Canis lupus familiaris: one gene and its partners. The protein of the gene in region 3 interacts with the protein of the main gene of each other region in a pairwise test. Links are inferred from orthologs where the notes say so. Each region holds a gene or a part of one and is shown on either strand. Other genes may lie near its edges.

Region 1 (5,803 bases), on a different chromosome or scaffold from region 3:
TGACCTGAGCTGAAGTCAGTCATTCAACCAAGCCACCCAGGCAACCCTCAATATACTTTTCAAAAATGTTTTTGCAATAAAGCATCTTGATATCTTAATTTTACACCACATAAATTCCTATTTTTCCCATAACTAAAAAGAGTAAAGGTAACAAATAAGAATATTGTTGTTAACTAATGCTTTCCAAACTATAATTTACATAGGTGAATATTATGTGAAAAGAAAAAAATTTCCTAAATATCAGCTTCACAAACCTAAACAGTGTCCCTTTACCTTCTGCCACATTTTCTAGCCACAATAAGTGGTACTTATTAGCACAAAAAGAGGTGAGATAAGAATACCAGAATCAAGGGAGGAGGACATACCTATACTCCTACAAATTCATTCTTATTTCTGCTTTGAATATGGAGTTGGAAGTCAAATACCTAATCTCTTCCCAATCCATGCCTTAGCCAATGCATTACAAATCATGCATGTAATCTAAAAAGTATTCCTCAAAACTGTTAGTGTTTCATAACAAAAAAGACAGCCTAATACTTCATGGACCACTTACCCACCCACTATTATTTGCCAATGGTAAGAAGAATTAGTGAAAAATAACAGAACATGGGGATTATCAATTTATGCAGAGAAAAGGCCATTATCACATTAGACTTATTATTTCAATGTAACTCTTAACATATCAGGGAATCTTAACCAGCAAAAAGATAAAGTAGAAAAAACTCAAAGAAATAAGTATGATGTCTCTAGTCCCTAAAATGGATCTAAGGAAATGTTTGACCATGAAACAAAGAATTCTGACCTGAAAACCATTTACCTTCCTTTTTTTTTTTAGATTTATTTATTTCAGAGAAAGAGCACGTGCTCAGATGCGGGGAGCCATAGAGAGAGGGAGAATCTCAAGCAGACTCTCCCCTGAGGTCAGAGCCTGCTCAGGGTTTGATCCCAGGACCCTGAGATTATGACCGGAGCAAGAGTCTGAGACAACCAACTGCACCATTCAGATGCTCCAAAAATATTTACTTTTTTTAAAGATTTTTTAAAAATTTATTCATGAGAGACACACAGAAAGAGACAGGCAGAGACACAGGCAGAGGGAGAAGCAGGCTCCATGCAGGGAGCCCAATGCGGAACTCGATCTCGGGACTCCAGGATCACGGCCGGGGCTGAAGGCAGGGGCGAAACCACCAAGCCACCTAGGGATCCCTTATTTACTTCTTTTCACTGAGCGCAATACATTTCCATCCTGTGTCCCTTTATTTGTAGTCCACATTTCCCAAAACTCAACAAGGCTATTAAAGACCACAATACACCTATGATTGCTTCCTTTTGAATATAGAGGAGCAAAAGAAGAAATGATGGAAGAAAATACATTTTCTAATTACCAGGTGTTGAATGTTGTTGTATCAATAATTTGGAAGAGAAGTGAGAATTTTCAACATCAAAAAGGAAATCTAAAAATTGCAGAAGCAGGCTGTCATAGAATAAAATCATATGCTTCACTAGCAAGGATTGTACACAAATAAATACCATTTTCTGCTTCAGATTTAAGCTGATATGAATCAGCTAATGAAATGTGGTCAAGAAGCTGACATTCTGGTCACTGTTGTTGAAAAAAAATAAAATGAAATAAAGCAGCCCCACCCACACTGCTGAAAAAAAGCTTCCGACATATGCACTAAACTTGTTTACCCAGGCCACATCTTAACAAGAGAAAAGCTTTGCAACTTGACTAGGATTATGTAACTATTTTGCAATGTGTTATCAGTTTAAAACCCTATTTATTTACTCCTTAGTTTTAACACATGGGTTACTTTACTACAAGGCCAGGTTTGCCATAATAATAGCATCTTTCCAATTTTATTCCATCATCAGCACTTCTTCCAATAGAGTTTTAGCCATTAATTTCATCTACTTTTCCTCTAAAAAAAATTAAAATATTTTACAATATGATATTGATATGTGACAAATTAACTTCTTTAAATAGCTCTGTTCCCAGAAACATGGTAGTAAAGACAGTAAACTTCATAGTGATTTAACTGCTATACCAAAACCTGGGTACCACAAAATAATAATCAGTTGAGATACACGGAAAAAAGTCAACTTCAGTTTCAACGTGGGAACACCCTTTCACTGTGAATCCCTTTCACCGCAGTATTTTCAAGTAATTCACCCCGAACTTCTGGCTTCTTTTTTAAGGTTATCAAAGATAGAGATTTCCGGAAAAGAATTTTTATTTCACAAGAGAATGGCCAAGGTCTGCAAGGTAAACCAGGATCCCTAAAACGAAATACTTCCAAGGAAGAAATAACTGTAACATAGTGGAACGATCTGGGACTGGGAATTTGGAGACCTGATCTGTCTAGACCTGCAGCAATACACCCCACTCCATCGCTTAAACATGACTGCCTAGATTTTTTTAATATTCTCGCTCCCCCTTTTGAAGAGATGCTCACTGAAAAATGACATGGAACCGAATTTTTCTTAAAGAATGGGAACTGCTTGGGCACCTGGGTGGCTCAGTGGTTGAGCGTCTGTCTTTAGCTCAGGTCGTGATCCCGGTGTCCTGGGACCGAGTTCCACATAGGGTTCCCCGCGGGGAGCCTGGTACTCCCTCTGTTTGTGTCTCTGCCTCTCTCTCGGTGTCTCTCACGAATAAATAGAATCTTAAAAAAAAAAAAAAAAAAGAATGGGAACTGCCTCCATCTACACCCAACAAGATTTAAAGTTCAGGTTCTGAATGCTAGCTGTTGGCAACATCTGCCCTGAGCACCAAACATTACTCAAACTTTTGTCCTCAGCAGCTGAAGACACTGGGAGGCACTTAATACAAAAACGCCAGTTTCAAAGGATAGCCGGGGGGGGGGGGGGGGGAATGTTAAGCCTAGAGAAACTGGGTATATATCCAGACATTTTTTAATTTAAATTAAAAATGTAAACGTCTAAACGTTTGGAAGTTCAACACCTCAGCTAAACAGCAATGCGGTCCAGTGTTGATAAATCTAAATCACTTTTAAAGTAAAAGGAGACAATTTTCCCAGTTATTGTGCATCAAGCAGCTCAAGTGGGCAGAGCTCAAGGACCACATCACACAGCAGAATGCCGCCAGGACAGTGGAGGCAGGCCAAGCCCAACCAAGGGAACCGCTCCGACAGAACTCGCCCCAACGAACTCCCTCCCTCCACCTCTGGTCTCCCCAGATCCCTAGGGCCGGCCCCTCCCCCCGCCATTCCCCTCCCCCACCCGTCGGCCACCTCCGCTAGTCTTAGCGCCCTCAGCCCCAACTACCGCCGCTCAGCCCTGGGTCTCCTCAGCAGCCAACCCTTTCAGCCCCTCCTCCTTTTAGAGGCGCCCCAGTCCTCCGTCTACTTACCGGGGTTAGCAGCAGCCGCCGCCATGGCCGTAGATGCCAATGCCGTCGCGCCACCCCCCGAGTGGGAGGAGCCGCCGCCACCGAACCGGGGGGGAGGGGGAGGGGAGAGCCACTCCCCAGACGCGGCTCCCTACAGCCGCCACCGCTACCGCGGAATCAAAGATGGCGGCTGCGGTAACACACACCCCGCCCCGACAGGCCCCAGCCTCCGGAGGACGGACCCCGCCCAAAGAGTGGATGGAGTCATTCCCTCAGAGCCCGCCTCCTCGGGGCAACTGACCAATGAGAATGCAAAAGGCAGGGCTGGCCAATGTGCCCGCCAGTCCATTGGAGGAGGGCGGGCAAAAAAGAAGTCCAGCTGTCTCTCTCTAATCCCGCCTCCTGTGCGTCAGAGGTCAGTGATCGAGTGACGTAGGCGAAAAACATTTTTACTCAAAAGCTTAGCTAGGTGGTAGATTTTTTTTTAAGATCTTATTTACTTATAGACACAGAGAGAGGCAGAGACAGAGGGAGAAGCAGGCTCCATGCAGGGAGCCGGACGCGGGACTCGATCCTGGGCCGCCAGGATCACACCCCAGGCTGCAGGCAGCGCCAAACCGCTGCGCCACCGGGGCTGCCCTAGGTGGTGGATTTTCCTGGCTGAAAACTGTGCAGACGATTTGTTTCGTAAACCCTCTTTAGTGGCTCTAATGCTTAAACTTTACACAGTGATTTGTAATCCTTTCTAGAATTTTTTTCCTCCATTAAGGACCTTTGTCCCTGGTGAAAAAAAAGACTCAATAATTTTTGAGTGCCTGGTATGGAACTGGTCGTGTAAAACAATCTGGGCGCTTAAGGTCTGGTGAGAGAGGTACCGACAGCCAAAACAAAAGGCGTTGTATAAAGAAGGTATTCTGATTAAGAGTGGGATGACTTCCATTGGTCAATAATAGGGACATAATGATGGGTTTTTGTAGGGAAGTAATAAGATGAGGACTGAACAGATTTTTTTAATAATAGGAAGCACTAAGCATTCGTGCCAGACACTATCCAAACTGCTCTGTGTGTTTACTCATTTAGTTCTCACAACACTGTGATGTAGATTGTATTATTAATTCCATCTTGCAGATAGGGAAAGAGAAGCAAAGAGATTAAGCAAGTGATAACCAGCTAGTAAGTAATGATGTGCAAGGCAAACTGAAGAAGTCTGACTCTAGGAACATATTTTAGCACTACAATATACTACCACCTTACTTATCTTTCACCTATTGTTTAATATCAATTTAATTCGAATTTTAACAAATTTCATTATGCTCTTGAGTATATCTGCATTCTTATAGATTACATATGTAATACAAGATTACATTGATCCATTTCTCTCCTTATCAGTAGTTTATCTCCGCTGAGGTATTTTAACATAATTTGTATATTATTATTTACATTGTTAAAATTATTTTTTCTTTGTTATTTTATTGTGTTGTATTTCCAATTCATCAAAAGAGAAAAAGCATCCACTCTAAAGAAGTACATTGACACATAAGAAGTAATGATGAAAAAACTAACAAGTACAGAATTTCAATTCAAAATTATGAAAAAAAAATTATGTAGTAAAGGTAGCTATTAAACAAGACTGCAGTTTAGATATGGACTCGAGTTTTGTGCCTTTACATGTGATAAGTTCACCCAAGCAGCGATGAATAAATAAAAATGTAAATACAAAGTATAATCATGAATACCTATGGGGCTCTTGAGTAGCTCAGCCAGTTTAGCGTCTGCTTTCAACGCAGATCATGATCCTGGGAATCTTGTGATCAAGCCCTGAGTCGGCTCAGCCTGCTTCTCCTTCTCCTTCTGCCTTTCCCCCTACTCAGGCGCGCTCGCTCTCTCTCTCTCTCTCTCTCCCTCGCTCTATCTCAAATAAATAAAATCTTTTTTTAAAAAAAACCACAACTATGATTATCTAAAAATTGGATTTTATTGGACCAACAATCCTTTTGTCCATTGCCCACTACAAGTATTGTCAAACCCTGACTCCAAAAGCCATCAAAACTTACAAGTCATTTTTGAACCAATTACAATAACCTCATTACGTTATAAAATGTATTTTTCCAGAATGAATGCAAAATAATGTTTTCCATTATGAAATGGATGAGTTTGTGGATAAAAAAGATCAAGTTACATCCCTGGTTAAAAAATGGCAAAAGTCATTTTGTTTCAGTGATACAACTAGCTACAAAGTTAACAAGTGTTTTGCTTGGAGAAAGTATAACAAGCCATTAGCAAAATCCATGATCAAACACCACAAAGAATCCTGGGATATAACATGAAAAGGCAATATTAGCCTTGAATTTGCCGACAGTGGACACCATGATGTACATAATATGAATCACTTCACAGCATATATGTAGTACATAAGGAAAAATGCCCAGAAACTTGTTATTTGGTTTATCA
Region 2 (5,681 bases), on a different chromosome or scaffold from region 3:
ATTAAGGTAAGAATTGCCCAAAAGTGTTACCATCATTTAAAAATTTGAGATATGGGATGCCTGGGTGGCTCAGTGGTTTAGCGCCTGCCTTTGGCCCAGGGCGTGAGCCTGGAGTCCCGGGATCGAGTCCCACATTGGGCTCCCTGCATGGAGCCTGCTTCTCCCTCTGCCTGTGTCTCAGCCTCTCTCTCTCTCTGTCTCTCATGAATAAATAAATAAAATCTTTAAAAAAAATTGAGATATAAGGGACATATGATATTGTATCAGTCTTAGCTATATAATTTGATACATATGTATCTATGTATATACTGTGAAATGATTACCACAATAAGCTTACTTTAATATCAATCAACCACATAGTCATAAATAACTCTCATAATGAGAACTTTTAAGATTTCTTCTCTTAGGGTGCCTGGGTGGCTCAGTTAGTGAAGCCTCTGCCTTAGGCTCAGGTCATTATCCAAGAGTCCTGGGATGGAGGCAGCCTACAGCTCCCTGCTCAGCGGGGAGTCTGCGTCACCCTCTCTCTTTCCCCACCCTCCTCCTGCTTGTGCTCTCTAGCTCTCTCATAAATGAATGAAATCTTCAAAAAATCTACTCTCTCAGCATGTTTCAAATATACTATGCAATACTTTGTATTATAGTCACTGCACCGTACGAGACATCCTTAGGACCTCTTTATAACTGGAGGTTTGTACCTTTTGACTGCCTTCATCTATCTCACTCAAGCAACTCTCATCCTCACCTGCCTCTGGCTACCGCCAACCCCTTCTCTGTGTCTTTATCTGAGGATTTTTTTCACCCCAGGCCCCGAGATTCCACATTTAAAGCTTTAACAGGTCTTTGCGTCCTTCCCCTCCCAGTAAGTCCTAGGATTCTTCTGTGTCCTTTCCAAAGTGCTGTCCTAGGGCAGCCCAGGTGGCCCAGCGGTTTAGCGCCACCTTCAGCCCAGGGCGTGATCCTGGAGACCCGGGATCGAGTCCGGCGTCGGGCTCCCTGCATGGAGCCTGCTTCTCCCTCTGCCTGTGTGTGTGTCTCATGAATCAACAGGTGAAGTCTTCAAAAAAAAAAAAAAAAAAAAAAAACAACAAAAAACCCAAAACCAAGCAGGAGTTAGTGACTGGCCAACATTGCTTTTATTACCTTATGCGTAGGTTTTTGGTTAACGACCAAATAACGAATGACTTAAAGTCTCGCCAGCTTAAGAATGGCTCTGATTTTAGCTAAAAAAAGATTTTCGAGGATACAATGAAAAGAAAATGGCCCGCACGACCTGCGTCGCACGTTACCCGAAACCAGCAAACACGCTCCGTGTGACAGCGAAGACCAGAGTCCAGTCTCGGAGACGCCCGGGGACGGCGGCCGCCGAGTAACCAGAGCGCCGCCCCCGGCGACCACCCTCCTCCGCGCGGGCCGCAAACCCGAAACCCGCAGGTGCCGGCGGCGTCCCGCGTCCCGGGACCGGAGAACTAGCCCCACCCACGGCGCCGGCGGCCCCCAGGCGCCCCCCACGGCCGGCGCCCCGGAGCTCGCGGAACGGGGACTCACCATGAGAAGGGTGTGGCCCGCGAGGTCGGGGACCGAGTCTCCGCAGGGGACAAACATGGTGGCACAGAGGGCGGGAGGACAGGCAAGGCCGAGCGCGGGCCCAGGAGGCCGGGGGCGGGGGCGGACCCGCGAGCGCCGCGCCAGGTCTGGCAGCGCGGTCCCCAGCGCGGGGGGCGGGGCCACGGGGCGGGGGGCGGGGCCACGGGGCGGGGGCGGGGCCCGGGCCGCCGCTCGGCGTGGGGTCCTGCGGGGCCAGTCCAGCTCCGCGCCGGTCCGCGGTGCGCGAAGGGCCGGGCGCCGGGGGAGATGGGGGCGGGCAGTGCGGGCGGAGACCCCCGCGGGGCAGGGCGGCGGGGAGCGTGGGCTGGCGCGGTGGGCGTCCCCAGGCCGGGAGCGGAGGCGGACGTGGTCAGGCACGGACGGGGGCAGCCCGCGCCCCGGCAGTCCGCGCCGTTTGAAAGCCACGGTTGAGCGCCGCCGCCGCCGCCGCCTCGGCTCCCGCCCAGCCGCGGCCCTGACGCGGCGCCGCGCCCCCCGGGAGCTGCGCGAGGCCGAGCGGTCGGCGGCTCCGCCCCGCGGCTACTGGCACCCCGGGGCCGGCCGGGCGCGCCCGAGGCGGGGGAAGCGCGGCGAGCGGCGGCCGCAGCATGTCGCTGCCTCCGGAGAAGGCCTCCGAGCTGAAGCAGCTCATCCACCAGCAGCTGAGCAAGGTGAGGGTCCGGCCCTGGCGCCGCCCGCCTGGCGTCCCGGGCGAGGCCGACGGCGGCGCGGGCGGGGGGCTCCGAGTGTGCAGCCCGGGCCGCCTCCAGCCTCGGCGAAGGGCAGCCTCAGCCGCGCTGAGGAGGAGGCGCTCACCCCGCGGCTTCGGGGTGCCAGGCCGAATACCAGCTGGGCTGCAGCAGATGTATGTTCGGAGGGTAGGAGTGAGAGTTACTTTAAGGGTGAAACTCGTGTCTTGAAGTTGAGCCAGGGGGACGTTCCTGAAGGTCTGCACGGAGAGTGCTTGCGGCCCTTCGGAGCCCAGCGAGAGCCCCGAACGCAGGGAGCTGAAGCCCTGAAAGCTGCCGTTTGCTGTGCACCTGTATGCCAGGTCCCGTGCTCAGTGTAAAGCATCTTTGACCTGAGCCTGCAGTAATCTTTTCCAGACTCATGCAGGGTAAACGGATCAACTCAGGGTCACGTCTCATAAGCTCAACGTTGAAATTCATACTCTGATCTCCTAGTCCAGGTCTGTGTTCTCTTGCGTATACTACACTCCCAATAGGCCTGTTTTCGTTGAATGTTATTTGTGGGGAAATGGTAACAAAGGTAGTAGATAGCCAGTAGAGATTATTTCTAGAATTTGTGCTAAGAGAAATTTAGGATGAAATAAAAGTCTTAGCTTTATTCTCATTGAATTCTAGCGATAATTTTACACTTACTATTAGCTTGAAAAGCCGTCTTGAATTTTGTCCACTCTCCCATTATTGTTTTTTAGATATTTATTGATTCCTGAGACACACAGAGGGAGAAGCAGGTCCGCTGCAGGGAGCCCGATGTGGCACTCGATCCGATCCCGGGACCCTGGGGTCACGCCCTGAGCGGAAGGGAGACGCTCAACCGCTGAGCCCCCCGGGTGCCCCTAGTACTCTCCCATTATTTTTTTTTTCCTTTGGGTGCTTTAGAAAGAAATTAGCTAATTGGCAATGTTTGTCAGCTTTATAAACGTGAGTTATATTGCAAGTTTTCTACATAGATGGATGTCCATGGCAGAATAAGAGAAATCCTTGCAGAGACAATACGGGAAGAATTGGCACCTGATCAACAACAGTTATCAACGGAAGATTTGATCAAAGCCCTTAGACGTCGGGGAATCATTGATGATGTGATGAAAGAACTTAATTTTGTTACTGTGAGTAGTTTGGTGGGGAAGAATTTTGAGAATATGTTCCTGGGCATAATGCTGCTTATTGGGTCCATATTTGGGGCCTGTTTTTAGTAAAATCACTTTAAAAGGCCATTTTTGTCTGGTAATATCCTTACTATAAGTTCACTCTACCCTTGAATGTAGCAAGTGGGATTATGTATCAATGAGATTGGAGTTACATACCATATTTCTCTTTACAGTGACAGAATTTTCTGTTGTTATTCCCTAGGTCTGTATCTGTAAGTATACATATTTTAGTGAAATTAGTTCACCATAACCTAGTTCTTTTTCGCAAGTAGTGTTTTATAATTTTTTTTAGATTAGGCATATTTTTTAAATACATTGTTTTAGAACTTCATTCTCTGTGATTAACAGATTATCAAATTTTTAAAGAAAATAATTGTGTAAGAACCTTCAAATCTCTTTATACAAATAGGTCGGTAGTGAGATGATAAGCCTCCGTGCACAAAATAGTAAGTGGGCCTTCTTTTGAAAATGAGGCAATAATGAGAAACTGTGACCTAATAATACATGAGTAGTATAATGTAAAAATTGGATGGAGTGCATAATACATCAGGGAATAAGTATTTTAATACAGCCTCCTTTTTTGGTTTTTGAGGTTTATAAACCCATTTGTTTGAAAATTGACCCAGTAACAGCTTCTGCTGTGTGAATGTCATTTCCTTATTAAAATCAGTTCATGGTAGAATCATAAGCCAAATGTCATATTAGGTTTAGAAAAAGTTTAACCTTGTTTAAGGTATTAAGGATTTGTTAATAGCATTCTGTGGACACTGAAGACAGTTTATTTCCTTATTAAAGTTTAGGAGTGACCAGTTCATCAACTCTTTTCATTATTTTAATTATGCTGGGAAAATAAGAGTTTCCTTGAGGGGGCTTTATCCTGTATACTTCTGTTTAGTTCTTAGTCCCACCCATTGTTGATGTTTCTTTGCTTAGCTATAATTTTTGTTTTCTAATTTGTTTTCATCTTTTTTCCCACCTTTCTAGGACAGTGTTGATCAAGAACTACCTTCCTCTCCAAAACAACCTGTTTGTTTTACTGATAGACAATCAACGTTGTTAAAAAAAAGTATGTATATTTCTTTTAACATTGATTTCGTTTTGCACCGTACTACATATTGATGTGCTGTAGTGTTTGGTATTTGATGAAAACCATTTTTTTCCTTCTCGAATGAGATTCTTACCATTTTTGTAATTAATCATCCAAAAAACTTAGATTCTGTTTTGCACCAAGTTGTGTATGTCAGAAGCTTTAGTATATCACAGAGTGGAAGCAAAAACAGAATTACCTGTTTCTCATGTTTTAATAATATGTTTTATAAACATTGTACAGCTTTGCTTTTTTAACGGTAATTGCCTAAAAAGTACACTTGCTGAGTTTATATTTGTTTGGTTTGGCTTTGGCGGTGAAGGCGTGTTATTAGATAAGCACCTGAAGAGCAAAGGTTTCTTAAGCCTTGGCTCTGACTCTTTTCTAGCTGGGAGAAAGTACCCAGAATATAAAAACTCCGATAAAAATATATCTTATTGTGTATGTTTTCTTTCTTGGTTTCAAATGGTCCTGGTATACAGTAAATTTGTTACTTTTTTAATTTAGTCTTTGGTTTTATTTCTGTCAAGTTATTATTTCCTATTGTCTTGATCACATTCCTTAAGTTGTTTGGCAGTTTCCTCATATATATTGCTACACTTTACAGCTAATATTGATCCAACACGGAGGTATCTTTACCTTCAGGTTTTGGGTGGAAAAGCTTTCTTGGAACATCTACAAGAACCTGAGCCTTTACCTGGACAAGTTTGTTCAACCTTTACTCTATGTTTACATTTTCGAAACCAACGTTTTCGTTCTAAACCTGTTCCATGTGCCTGTGAACCAGATTTTCATGATGGCTTTTTACTTGAAGTACACAGAGAAAGCTTAGGTAAGGAGCAATAATAACTTGTCATTTAATTGAGTAAATATTTGTTAGGTTTTATGGTAACATAACTTTTGCTAGAAGGAGAGTTTTATGATGATTGAATCTTCCTACTTTGCTTTTATTTTCTCCACTGCTCTTTTTTACATAAATTACTTCTACCTTTTTGCTTTATTTTCTGCTAAATAATTTTTCCTTAAGATTTTTTATTTTTACTGTTTTAATGGTTGCTTCTTAAGTAGTAAACATTTAAATATCTGTTAGGGGGTTGCCTGGGTGCTGTAGTC
Region 3 (5,119 bases):
GGCACAGGGCGGCTGCGTCCCCCACTCCCTCCGTCCTTGTCAGCCCAGCGCTGCGGGGAGGGCTCCGGGGCCCCAACGTGTGGCTGAATGCATTCCCACGCAGCCCCAGCCCGGGGCGCATCTGGCACCACCTCGGCCCCCCGCCCGGCAGAAGGGGCTCTGCGAGTCTCGGAGCCTTGGCTCCAGCCTCCCGGGGTCCCTGCTCCCCAGCTGTGTGGGGCACGGCGGGGGGACAGCTGGGGGCCGACCGTGGCCGCCCTTGGTGCCCTGGGTCTGGGGCTGGTGGAGGGCTCAGCCTCGTCCCTGCCAGCGTTGCTCCCGGCCCCCCCTCCCCCAGTTCTGGGTTCCAGAACCTTCCTGGCCCTGGAGCGGGGTGGGGTGAAGGCTCCTGGAGTGCCGCAGGTGCACAGCCAAGTGGCCGGGTGAGTCCTGGGTACTGCAGCACCGGCACCCCCGTTCCAGGGATCCTGGACCCCGTGGGGAAACTGAGGCCCCGGCCGGCGTGTGGGTGTGGCTGAGCAGGCGCACACGTGCCGGCTGCACGCATGGGGCGCGGTGCTGGGCGCGGTGGGGGCCGGCGGCAGTTGGTGAATCAAGATGGATTTCCGGGGCGGCGCGGGCGAGGCGCTCATCGCTCTCCCGCTCAGTTAGCGTCCCGGGGAGCGGCAGCTGGCGGGGTGGGAGCCACTCCATCAGGGGCCGACAGCTCCAGACTGGCGCGCAGGCGGGTGGGAGCGCGCGCCCGGGCCCGCGCGGGTGGTGGGCTGCACACGGCCCGGGGCCGCCTCGCTCGGGCCCACCCGCTGCACCGGCGGGGAAGGGGTGTGGGGGCGCCGGGCGGGTCCCGGGCCCCGAGGTCCCCCCAGCCTTCCCAGCCGACCGTCTTCGCGGGCTTGGGGGCTCGGCGGATCGGGGTGGAGGGCCCGCTGAGTGCGGTTGGGGTACCGGGCGGGTCGCTGCCCTCACTCGGGTCCCTCTGTGCCAGCCGCGTAGGGCCGGGGTGACCCCCCAGCCCCCACCAGGTGTCGTGGAGCCAGGGCTGGGTCTCAGAGGCCGCTGGGTTGGTGGAGGCGCTGGGCAGTGAGGCGGGGAGCCCCCCCACCCCCGGTGCCTGGCCCTGAGCAGGCCTGTGCCGGTGCCCCTGCCGCGGGGCCCTGCGGGAGGGAGGGCCCGGCCCAGAGCGTGGGGACCCGGCCTCCCCCCACCTGCTGCCCAGTGGCTCCTGCGATAAAGCAGTTGTCTAATTAGTAAGTTCTTCGTCGCTGTGCAAACTCCTTGCTCGGCAAAATGGAAATGAAACATTTTTTTTCGGGGTGTCAGTATGAAAAATGACAGTCGCTCGAACATCGCAGAGGACATCTGCTCTGGTTCTTAAGTGCGAACGCCTGTTTATGGCTGATGTGGCGAAACTTGGGGAACGCTTCCCCGTGTACCTGGGTAGCCCATCCGTGGGCGTGCGGGTCAGGGGTGGCAGGTCGCAGCCCGGGGAGCACGCGGACACCTGGGCCTGGCTTTGCCCTGATGCCCGCGATGTGCACGGTGGGGGGTGCGGGGAGGCAAGTGTCCCAGTGCCCGGCCCGGGGGCGGGGTGCTGCTGCAGACGGCGCCCTGAGTCCCACTCGCTGTCCCCTCGATGCCACACGCCAGGCTCCATCCTGCAGGCCGGGGGCCGCTGTCCCTGCAGTAACTGGCGGCCGCCGCCTGGCCGGACCCAGGTGGGTGGGGGGAGCCCTTAGCCCTGCCACGCTGGCACCCCTGTCCGCCCTGCTGGGAGCGAGGGCAGCGTCCTCGGGTTAGCGTGTCCTGGGTGCGTGTGCTAGGCCGGGGTTTCCGTGGGCGGATGGGGCAGGGTCCGGCGGCCGCGTCCCCTCACCGCGCCGTGTCCTCAGGGGAGTACATCAAAACCTGGCGGCCCCGGTACTTCCTCCTCAAGAACGACGGCACGTTCATCGGCTACAAGGAGCGGCCCCAGGATGTGGAGCAGCGAGAGTCCCCCCTCAACAACTTCTCCGTGGCACGTAAGTGCGTGCGGCCTCCCCGGGCCGCGGCTGGGCACCGCTGGGCGCGGGGGCCACCCTGGCTGGACAGGAGGGCAGGGCGGCGGGGCTGGCTTTGAGTCCCCGTGGGAACTAGCGTGCGGCTGGTTCTGGCTGCCGGGAGCTCCGAGGCGGGCCACCCCGGACCTGTCCCGGGGCCGCTTGCTCTGGCGTCCGAGGGCCTGGCTGAGGGGCACAGCAAGTGGGCTGGACGCCACCTGGAGCTCACGGCGGTCTGGGTGTGGAGGCAGGACGAGAGTGCGAGAGGGGCACTCGGCTTCCGGGAGCCTCTGTCCCCCCAGGAGGAGCCCCCAGAGGCCTGGGCCCTGTGGTGGTTTGTGGGGGGCAGTGCCACGCAGGGGGCCTGGGGCAGCCTGCAAAGCTGGAAAGCCTGGTGCTTTCTCTAAACTCCGTGTTCCGGTGGCCTTACTCTGTACCTGCAAGGGGTGGGGACAGCTGGTGCGACCCCACCTGTGGGGCTCGGGTGACCTGGGCATGGAGCTGGGCCGCCCGGGGCTGACCCGGGACACGGCCCCGGGCGGTGGGGGGGGAGGATGAGTGATGGGCTCCTGAACTGACAGACCTCCTGGGTCCGTCTTGGGATGCCGTCCAGGGTACGAGGTGCCCGCTGTGGGGGTCCGGCCTCCACCCTAGTCTCCTTTATACATCTCCACGCTCCGGGTCCCTCTGCCTTCCCTGCCATTCAGCCTGGGAGCCTGGGGTCCTGTAGCTCCCCCACGTCTGGCCCAGGTTCTGCTCCAGAGTCTCGGGGAGGTGGCAGGGGTGATGGGGAGGGACTCACGGCTTCCGTGTGGGCGGCAGGGACATAGAGCTGGGCGGTCCTGGACCTTGGCTGTCCTGCCCACCCTCTCGGTGTAGCCAGCGCTGTGCTGTAGGGGCAAGGGGCATGGCCAGCGTAGCCCCCCACCGAGGGCTTCTGTCCGGGGGGGAGCATAGCCCCTGCCCTGTAAGTCTCCTGCCTGGGGGTCTCCCAGGGGACCTTTACCATGACCCGGGTCCACTGAGTCCTGACCCCATCCGCGTCTTCAGGTTTCCTCGGAGCAGCCATAGAGTAGGGGCTCCAGGGTGACGGGAGACCAAGGAGGTAGGCACCCCTGTCCCTGCAGCCTGGTGGCTGGCTGGGCTCCGCCCAGTGCCTCCTTGGCTGGGGTGGGTGCCACCTTGCTGGCAGGGCTGTGGGGGCCCTGGGGAATGTTCCCTGCGGGCAGAGAGCCTACAGAGGCTCTCGGGAGGCAGGCGCCATGCAGAGGGGCTGGGGCTGGGGCCCTGAAGCCGGGGAGGTGGCTGGGTGGGGGCCTCTGTGGCTACGGGCTTCTCCTTGGGGATGGATTCCAGGGGTGGGGGCACAGGAAGCCAGGGTGGGACGGACACCAGGCGCCTAGGTTCTGGGAAAAGCTGGTGGTCTCTGATGAGCCAGTGGGAGGTAGGTGTGCGGGACGGAGAACACAGGCCACAAGGCTTTCTGTCCCCCATCCCCATGTTGACATAGGCCAGGCCCAGCCCCGGTAGACCACTCCTTACCTCTGCCGAGCCCGGCCAGGCCCCCCTGAGGTTGCTAGGGCCCTCACACACACTGGGCCAGCGTCGCCCTAGAATTTCTCAGCGGTACCCCAGACTGGCTCACACCCCTCTTGGGGCCTCGTGCATCCCCACAGCCCCTGTGCTGCTGGTGTGCGTGCATTACTGGTGTGTGTGTGTGCTCTAGCTGTGTGCCTGCTCCAGGTGTGTGCCTGCTCCAGGTGTGTGCGTGCTCCAGCTGTGTGCGTGTTCCAGCTGTGTGCGTGCTCCAGCTGTGTGCCTGCTCCAGGTGTGTGTGTGCTCCAGCTGTGTGCGTGCTCCAGCTGTGTGCGTGCTCCAGCTGTGTGCCTGCTCCAGGTGTGTGCGTGCTCCAGCTGTGTGCCTGCTCCAGCTGTGTGGCTGCACCAGGTGTGTGTGTGCTCCAGCTGTGTGCCTGCTCCAGGTGTGTGCGTGCTCCAGCTGTGTACCTGTTCCAGGCGTGTGCATTCTCCTGGTGTGTTTTGCTCTTGCTGTGTGTCTGGTCCAGCTGTGTGCCCGCTTCAGGTGTGTGCAGTCCTGGTGTGTGCGTGCTCCAGCCATGAGCGTGCCCCTGGTGTGTGTGTGTTCCAACTGTGTGTGAGCTTCCAGTGTGTGGGAACTCCTAGTGTGCGTGTGTTCCAGGTGTGCCCGCGTTTCAGCTGTGTATGAGCTCCTAGTGTGCATACAATCCAGCTGTGTGTCTGCTCCAGGCACGTGCATGTTCCAGCTGTGTGAGCTCCCGGTGTGCACGCATCCCAGCTGTGTGCCTGCTCCAAGTGTGTGCCTGTTCCGGCCATGAGCATGCTTCTGAGCTCCTTAGTGTGCGTGTGTTTCAGCTGTGTATGAGCTCCCGGTGTGCACACATTCCAGGTTTGTGCATGCTCCAGGTGTGTGCGTGCTCTGGATATGTGTCTCCGTGTTCCTGCCATGCGCCTGGAATCCCCAGCCTCGGGTGGTGGTGGGGGAATGCCATCGTGTGGGGTGGGTACAGCCCGAGCAGCCTCCAGGGAGGGTCATGTCCTCCAGCTGCCTGCCCAGGACAGGCGGCGTCTCTGAAGGGTGAGTCCCCACCGGCCTTTGCCCTGGGACTGGCCCTGCTGGGGGGGGCGTGGGCTGGGTAAATGGCAGGGGGTTCCTGCTCGGGGGCCAGCTGCTTTCCCTCCTCTGCCCCGCCCCTGGGGCATCCCTCCTCCTCCTCCCTCCGGCCAGTTGAGCTGCCTGGCATGCAGCACGGGCTCAGAGACCGAAGGACCAGGGGAGAGGATGACATGGGGCCGAGGTGACCCGGCCTCAGCCAGCCCTGCAGGGGCACCTCACTGCCTGCCAGCACAGTGTCAGGACTGGAATAGGGGTCCCACCCCTGGTTTTACAAGCAGGGGAGCCAAGGCGTGGAATGGGAATGGGATAGGGCTTTGCATGACCTGGTGGTGGGGTCCCGGGGCCGGGGGCAGGTGGGCCCTGTGTGCGGGGGTGCAGACTCACCTGCCAGCCCTGCCCCCAGAATGTCAGCTGATGAAGACTGAGCG
Region 4 (5,720 bases), about 7.9 Mb from region 3:
TCAGCGCACTGGGATTGGGAACCCGGCTCTGTGACCTGCCCCAGTTATGGTGCTTCCTCGAGGCTCGTTTTTGTAACCTAGGAAATCGAGTAATTCCCAGCTCAGTCGAGGTGATGATCAAGTGGGAGCACCCATAACGTGAGAGGCGCTGTACAGACGTGCACCCCTGCGGGGAAGGGGGCCGCGGACAACTGACTAGCCCCCAGTGTGGTAATGGGGAGAGCAGGGACCCTGAGACCCTCAGAGGACAGTTCCGTCGGGGTGGGAGTCAGCACTGCCTTCATGCGAGAAGGGTGGTCCTTCATCCCGACCTGGGCACTCTGGACCAACAGGTGCTGGGCCCCGAAGGTACTCACCTGGTCACTCATCCTCCAGGTCTGGCAGCTGCTCCAGGAGCATGTCCTCCATGCCACTGAGCTGCACGGGAGAAGCGGGTGAGAGGCCCGGGCCCTAGGAAGTCTCCTTCCATCCTTCTATTCCTGCCTCCCGGGCCTTCCAGGAGCTCGGAGCAGCAGGCAGGAACCTGCCTGGGGGCGGGGGATTCGAGGAGCCCCTCCTCCCACCAGCCTTCACCCCCTGACTGCCCATCCGAGAGGCCTCCCTGTGGCTGAGACCTCAGAAGGTGGCCCAGTCAATGTCTTCTGATGTCTCCCCAGTCCAATCCTTGAAAAACCTGCAGTTGTAAACTCCTACTTGTTTAGCTTTTGGTGAGAGATGGAGGGAATGGATTGACCTCAGAGGCCAGACATGGGGGCCTGGGGGAGGCGAGGAGGACAGGACAGGCCCACCCAAGATGACTCGACGGTGTCCAGGAGGAGGACACACTTGCCTCAATGTGGTACACTATGCGCCAGAAACTGGAGTCTGAGCCTCGGTATCTTCTTCCAGGGTAGAGCTGCCACATGGAAGGCAGCAGGCATGGGGCTAGCAGGCTGGGGCACATGGCCTCCCCTAGGGGGACATCTTCCTGACGCATGAGTACCTGGAGGCTGCTCTCCGTCTGAAGGGAAGGGAAGACCAGGGCATGCCTTCAGGGCCCAGGCTCCCCAGCACCCAAATACCCAGGGTCCTTCCTGCCACCCTCACGGCCCAGCTGACATCTGAAATGCTGGCGATCACTCTTCCCAGCAACTTCACCCCTTGCGCCATGCATGCCCCTCTCAGGCATCGGGCCAGGCGGAGATGACCGGCACTTACATGAGTCTAGACACCCAGACGGGGCCACACCAGGCCCACGTCTTCCTGACAAACTGAACATTCGTCCCTGAGCTTCCTTAGCTGCAGTTTCTTTGATTCTTCTTTATTTTGTCACAGAGCCCAGCCCCTTTTATTTATTCATTAAAAAAAAATTTTTTTTAAGTAATCTCTACACCCAACACGGGGCTTGAACCCACAACCCTGAGATCAGGAGTCGCTTGCCCCACCGACTGAGCCAGCCAGGTGCCCACAAATGCCCCATTGAAACAAATTTCCCCAGCACCCACAATCAGGTGAGAGACCACTTTTCCCCATCTCCACCAGTGCCCCTCTACTGCAGTAAGCTAACCTGCCACCTCGTTGGTCATGTGCCCCACGATCAGCTCACAGCACAGCAGCCAGGGTGTGCGTCTAAAAATCATGTCACCTCCTGTTTGACACCCTCCAGTGGCTTCTCATTGTGGGCAGAAGAAACTGCAGCCTTTACCATGGTCCACAGACCCACTAATGTGGGCCCGTGCCTCCCTCATCTCTTCAGTCCTCCACCTCCCACCCTGTTCCTCCACCTCCCACAAAGGCCTTCTTGCTCTTTCCAGGACATGCCACATCCCCAGTAATCTCTTGCATCTGTGGTCCTCTGCCTGGAACATTCTCGCTGAGATCTACACGCGGCTCACACCCTTCCTTAGATAGGTTTCTGCACAACTTTTTATCTACAGGGACAAATTTCTGCAAAATCCAGCTCTATGAAATACACATGAGGCCCGCATATCTAAAAGTGAGACTTACAAAGGTTTCAAATAAAATGATTGGACAAAAGCATGACAAACAAATGCAAATTAATTCTCTGACGGGGTCTTGCCTGTAGACCCCACGCCACTCGTTACTGCCTCTCATCCTTACACAACTTACCACCAGCTTCAATTATTTTATTGTTCTGCACCCCTCAGCAAGCATCAGCTTGCTGAGTAGCAGGATTTTATCACATTCCCCACAAAACCTCATAGCCTGGAAAGCAGGCTGGGTCTATAAACTAGGCATTCGTGTCTGCTCAAGAACTACTTTTCCAAAGTGGAAATCATTTTTTGTTTTTTGTTTTTAATTTGTTTTTTGTTTTTAATTTCCCATCTATGAGATAAATTAGAATTGTTAAATAATTCAGATCATCCTGCAAGATATGAGTGGAAATCACCATTCTTGCTGTGTTCGTTTATAGTTTTCTAGAGCCTCTAGACCACTTTTAGTCTGCGTGTTCATTTTTTTCTTATTTTTTTTTATTTTTTTTTTAAATTTATTTATGATAGTCACACAGAGAGAGAGAGAGAGGCAGAGACACAGGCAGAGGGAGAAGCAGGCTTCATGCACCGGGAGCCCGACGTGGGATTCGATTCCGGGACTCCAGGATCGCGCCCCGGGCCAAAGGCAGGTGCTAAACCGCTGAGCCACCCAGGGATCCCTTCTTATTGGTTTTAAGTCAATCTTTACATATTAAGGGCAGCCCCGGTGGCTCAGCGGTTTAGCACGGCCTGCAGCCCAGGGTGTGATCCTGGAGTCCCGGAATCGAGTCCCATGTAGGGCTCCCTGCATGGAGCCTGCTTCTCCCTCTGCCTCTCTCTCTCTGTCTTTTGTGAATAAATAAATAAAATCTTAAAAAAAAACTTTACAGGGATCCCTGGGTGGCGCCGCGGTTTGGCGCCTGCCTTTGGCCCAGGGCGCGATCCTGGGGACCCCGGATCGAATCCCATGTCGGGCTCTCGGTGCATGGAGCCTGCTTCTCCCTCTGCCTGTGTCTCTGCCTCTCTCTCTCTCTCCCTCTGTTACTATCATAAATAAATAAAAATTAAAAAAAAAAAAACTTTACATATTAAGAAAACAGGCCCTTTCAATCACATGGACACAAAGCCTGCCCCACATTGGGCTAGGGGTATGTTTCACGCAGGATCTATGAGGACAATGCAAAAACCTCCACTTTGTGGTCTTGGTGTCCTGTGCCCTAACCAGAGATTTAAATGCCAAGAGACACGGTGGTGGGGACCTGGGATTCCAGGCCTCTCACATCCTGCAGAGCTACCATAATATTTTTTTTTTATCTTTGTTCCTAATTCGGCGTCTGCACCGCTGCGTTCCGGGTGAAGCAGGCTCCGCTGCCCCCCACCCCCCCGCCCGCCCCTGGGAGTCGGGGCAGGTGGTCCCACCCCGGATGCCCACGCCGCGCGCCCGGCCCGCCCCGGGGCGGCTGTACCTCGATGGTTACGGGCAGCCAGGTGCGCTGGTTCTCGTCCACGTACACGGACGTCTCCCAGATCCACAGGTGGTCCGGGTGCAAGGCCGCGTGCGCCCTGAAGAACGGGAGCTCGCCCATGGCGCCCCGGGGCACGGGCGCGGGAGCCTCTGCAGCGCGGGAGCCCCTGCAGCGCGGGGTCGGGTGGGTCGCGGTGCGCGCGGGCGCCCCCGGGCGGCGGGGTGGGAGGGGCCGGGGGGGCGGGGAGGGGCGGGGCCGCGGGCGGGTCTGCAGCTGGACCTGCAGGGGGGCGCCCTGGCCAGGCCTGGGCTCCGGCTGTCCCCCCCTCCCCGCTCCCCGCTGCTGCTGGGGAGCCACCCCCTTGTCCGTGCCAAAGGCCTCTCGGCTCTCCGGGGCGCCCAGACCCCACTGTCCGAGCCCGCCACCGCGTGTGTGTGGCTGCTCACGTCCCACTAGAGACCGGGACGCCAGGCCGCTGCTGGGAACTCACAGTCGATGCCAGGCAACCCAGAGCCGGGCCCCCCTGCACATCTTCCCGGATCATGCGAGCCTGAACGAAGCCTGGACCCTCCCAGGTCCAAGCATCCCCTTCAGCCTCTGGATGGGGTGTCCGACTCGGTCTCCTTGGCCAAGTGCTACTCATGAAGCCCCGACACCCCACTCACCCCCACCCCCCTCCGCAAACACATTTTCCACGGCTTTGATGATGGTGTGGTCATCTAATAGCTATTGTGAAACACGATGGTGAAGAAACATGGGTTTTTTTTTCCCCTTTATAGGCTTTGAATTCATTGCTGAGCACATCCTTCAAAATGAATGCTTGAAAAGAATCCCTTCTCTCCGCCCCAAGATCAATGGAATTGAAAAGTCCCTGGGTTTCATGATCAAACCGGCTCTCTGTGAATTACAGCAAACAAGGAAAACAATGTCACTTCATTTTGCAGTACACCGCATGCCCATTAAGGCAATTAAGAAAATAAAGTACAATGAGAAACATGTAAAGCGAGGCCCGGCCTCGTTGCTCAAGCATCACCCCTGGCTGCAGTGTGGTGCTTCACCTTCCAGCTCCTTCCTGACTCTCTGCCCAGGCACTAAGAAAATACTCTGTGATCTTTCGAGATATCACAGAAATGAAAATGAGCTTAACCCTGATCCTCTGACAGCAAAGGTATGTATGTGCTGCTCTGCCCACTCCAAACAACCTAATTCCCAAGAAAGTGCTGAGGTGGCCTACAGTAATGGAGATAAATATATAATTGGATTTACCAGGAACACAAAAAGAGGAGACAAAACCCAAGCCAAGGTGGAGTGGAGGAGGCAGACGGGAGCCCAGCAAACCTCCTTCCCGGAGCAGCCTCTGGTGGTGCTGGTATTTCATATTCAGACTCGTGGCATTCAGAGTGATTTCCCAGTGGTTGGTTCTTAATTCCAGACCCAGGTAGCCACTGGGAGCAAGATAGTATGGTAATGGCTGGGGAATCTCAGCCCTGTCCTGAGCTTTGAGGTCAGAAACGGTGGTAACAAGTCTGGCTTAGACAGTGTGGCAAGGGAAGGAGGTAGCTAGGAGCCCGCGTGGCCACTGACCCAGCCACATCGAGGACCCCAGGACCCAGAAGGCCGATTTCTGGGGTCTGCCGATTTCATTACCACTCCTTCTGCTCTTCAGAGAGGCCACAATAGTAACAAGTAACAGAACAAGAATCACACTCCTTTGCCTGAATATCCTTCTGAATGTCCTGGGAATACATATGATCCTTACACCCCCCAGAGTCCTTTGAAAGAACAATATATGTCTTCAGCGTTGCATGAGAGCTTCTTAATATTGAGCAAGAGTGTACATCATTCTTGTGTAGGATTTAGCGAATCACTTGAGAGGGGATTCCAAAACATGAAAGTGGCACAAGATGACTGAGGAGTTCATGGGGCAGCATCGGGGGAAGGGGGCTGGGGTCTTCTTTATGGAAATCCATGAGAAAGGAATAGCTTCTGTGTGGTCTAATGGACAGGCAAGCTCTCCAGCATAAAATCTACCCCATTTTAGGGGTCAGAGGTCATTGGACCTAGCTTTTATTTTATTTTATTTTTATTTATTTATGATAGTCACACAGAGAGAGAGAGAGGCAGAGACATAGGCAGAGGGAGAAGCAGGCTCCATGCATCAGGAGCCCGACGTGGGATTCGATCCTGGGTCTCCAGGATCGCGCCCTGGGCCAAAGGCAGGCGCCAAACCGCTGCGCCACCGAGGGATCCCTGGACCTAGCTTTAAAGATTTTTTTTTTAA

Evidence for each region. The genes of interacting proteins can lie anywhere in the genome.
Region 1: the proteins of AKT1 (region 3) and ARNT interact in a protein complementation assay, tested with the Homo sapiens proteins (2 studies listed by BioGRID and IntAct, with this or other methods). The link is inferred for Canis lupus familiaris from reciprocal best matches to the Homo sapiens genes AKT1 and ARNT.
Region 2: the proteins of AKT1 (region 3) and CEP76 interact in binary tests that used the Homo sapiens proteins (3 or more experiments, as listed by UniProt). The link is inferred for Canis lupus familiaris from reciprocal best matches to the Homo sapiens genes AKT1 and CEP76.
Region 4: the proteins of AKT1 (region 3) and TCL1A interact in binary tests that used the Homo sapiens proteins (3 or more experiments, as listed by UniProt). The link is inferred for Canis lupus familiaris from reciprocal best matches to the Homo sapiens genes AKT1 and TCL1A.

Annotation. Positions count from the first base shown.
Region 1 is NC_049238.1:60,665,806-60,671,608, forward strand, and holds the start of ARNT (aryl hydrocarbon receptor nuclear translocator), read right to left. Parts: upstream 3,560-5,803; 5' UTR 3,399-3,559; coding exon 3,374-3,398; intron 2,535-3,373; exon of another isoform or gene 2,511-2,534; intron 1-2,510. UniProt on the Homo sapiens protein: Required for activity of the AHR. Upon ligand binding, AHR translocates into the nucleus, where it heterodimerizes with ARNT and induces transcription by binding to xenobiotic response elements (XRE).
Region 2 is NC_049228.1:78,180,143-78,185,823, reverse strand, and holds the start of CEP76 (centrosomal protein of 76 kDa), read left to right. Parts: upstream 1-2,122; 5' UTR 2,123-2,195; coding exon 2,196-2,258; intron 2,259-3,283; coding exon 3,284-3,439; intron 3,440-4,465; coding exon 4,466-4,547; intron 4,548-5,175; coding exon 5,176-5,400; intron 5,401-5,681. Other genes in the region: PSMG2 (proteasome assembly chaperone 2), read right to left, coding at 1,549-1,605. UniProt on the Homo sapiens protein: Centrosomal protein involved in regulation of centriole duplication. Required to limit centriole duplication to once per cell cycle by preventing centriole reduplication.
Region 3 is NC_049229.1:72,723,710-72,728,828, reverse strand, and holds part of AKT1 (RAC-alpha serine/threonine-protein kinase), read left to right. Parts: intron 1-1,889; coding exon 1,890-2,018; intron 2,019-5,094; coding exon 5,095-5,119. UniProt on the Homo sapiens protein: AKT1 is one of 3 closely related serine/threonine-protein kinases (AKT1, AKT2 and AKT3) called the AKT kinase, and which regulate many processes including metabolism, proliferation, cell survival, growth and angiogenesis.
Region 4 is NC_049229.1:64,861,093-64,866,812, forward strand, and holds the start of TCL1A (T-cell leukemia/lymphoma protein 1A), read right to left. Parts: upstream 3,560-5,720; coding exon 3,440-3,559; intron 1,001-3,439; coding exon 830-1,000; intron 418-829; coding exon 361-417; 3' UTR 357-360; intron 1-356. UniProt on the Homo sapiens protein: Enhances the phosphorylation and activation of AKT1, AKT2 and AKT3. Promotes nuclear translocation of AKT1. Enhances cell proliferation, stabilizes mitochondrial membrane potential and promotes cell survival.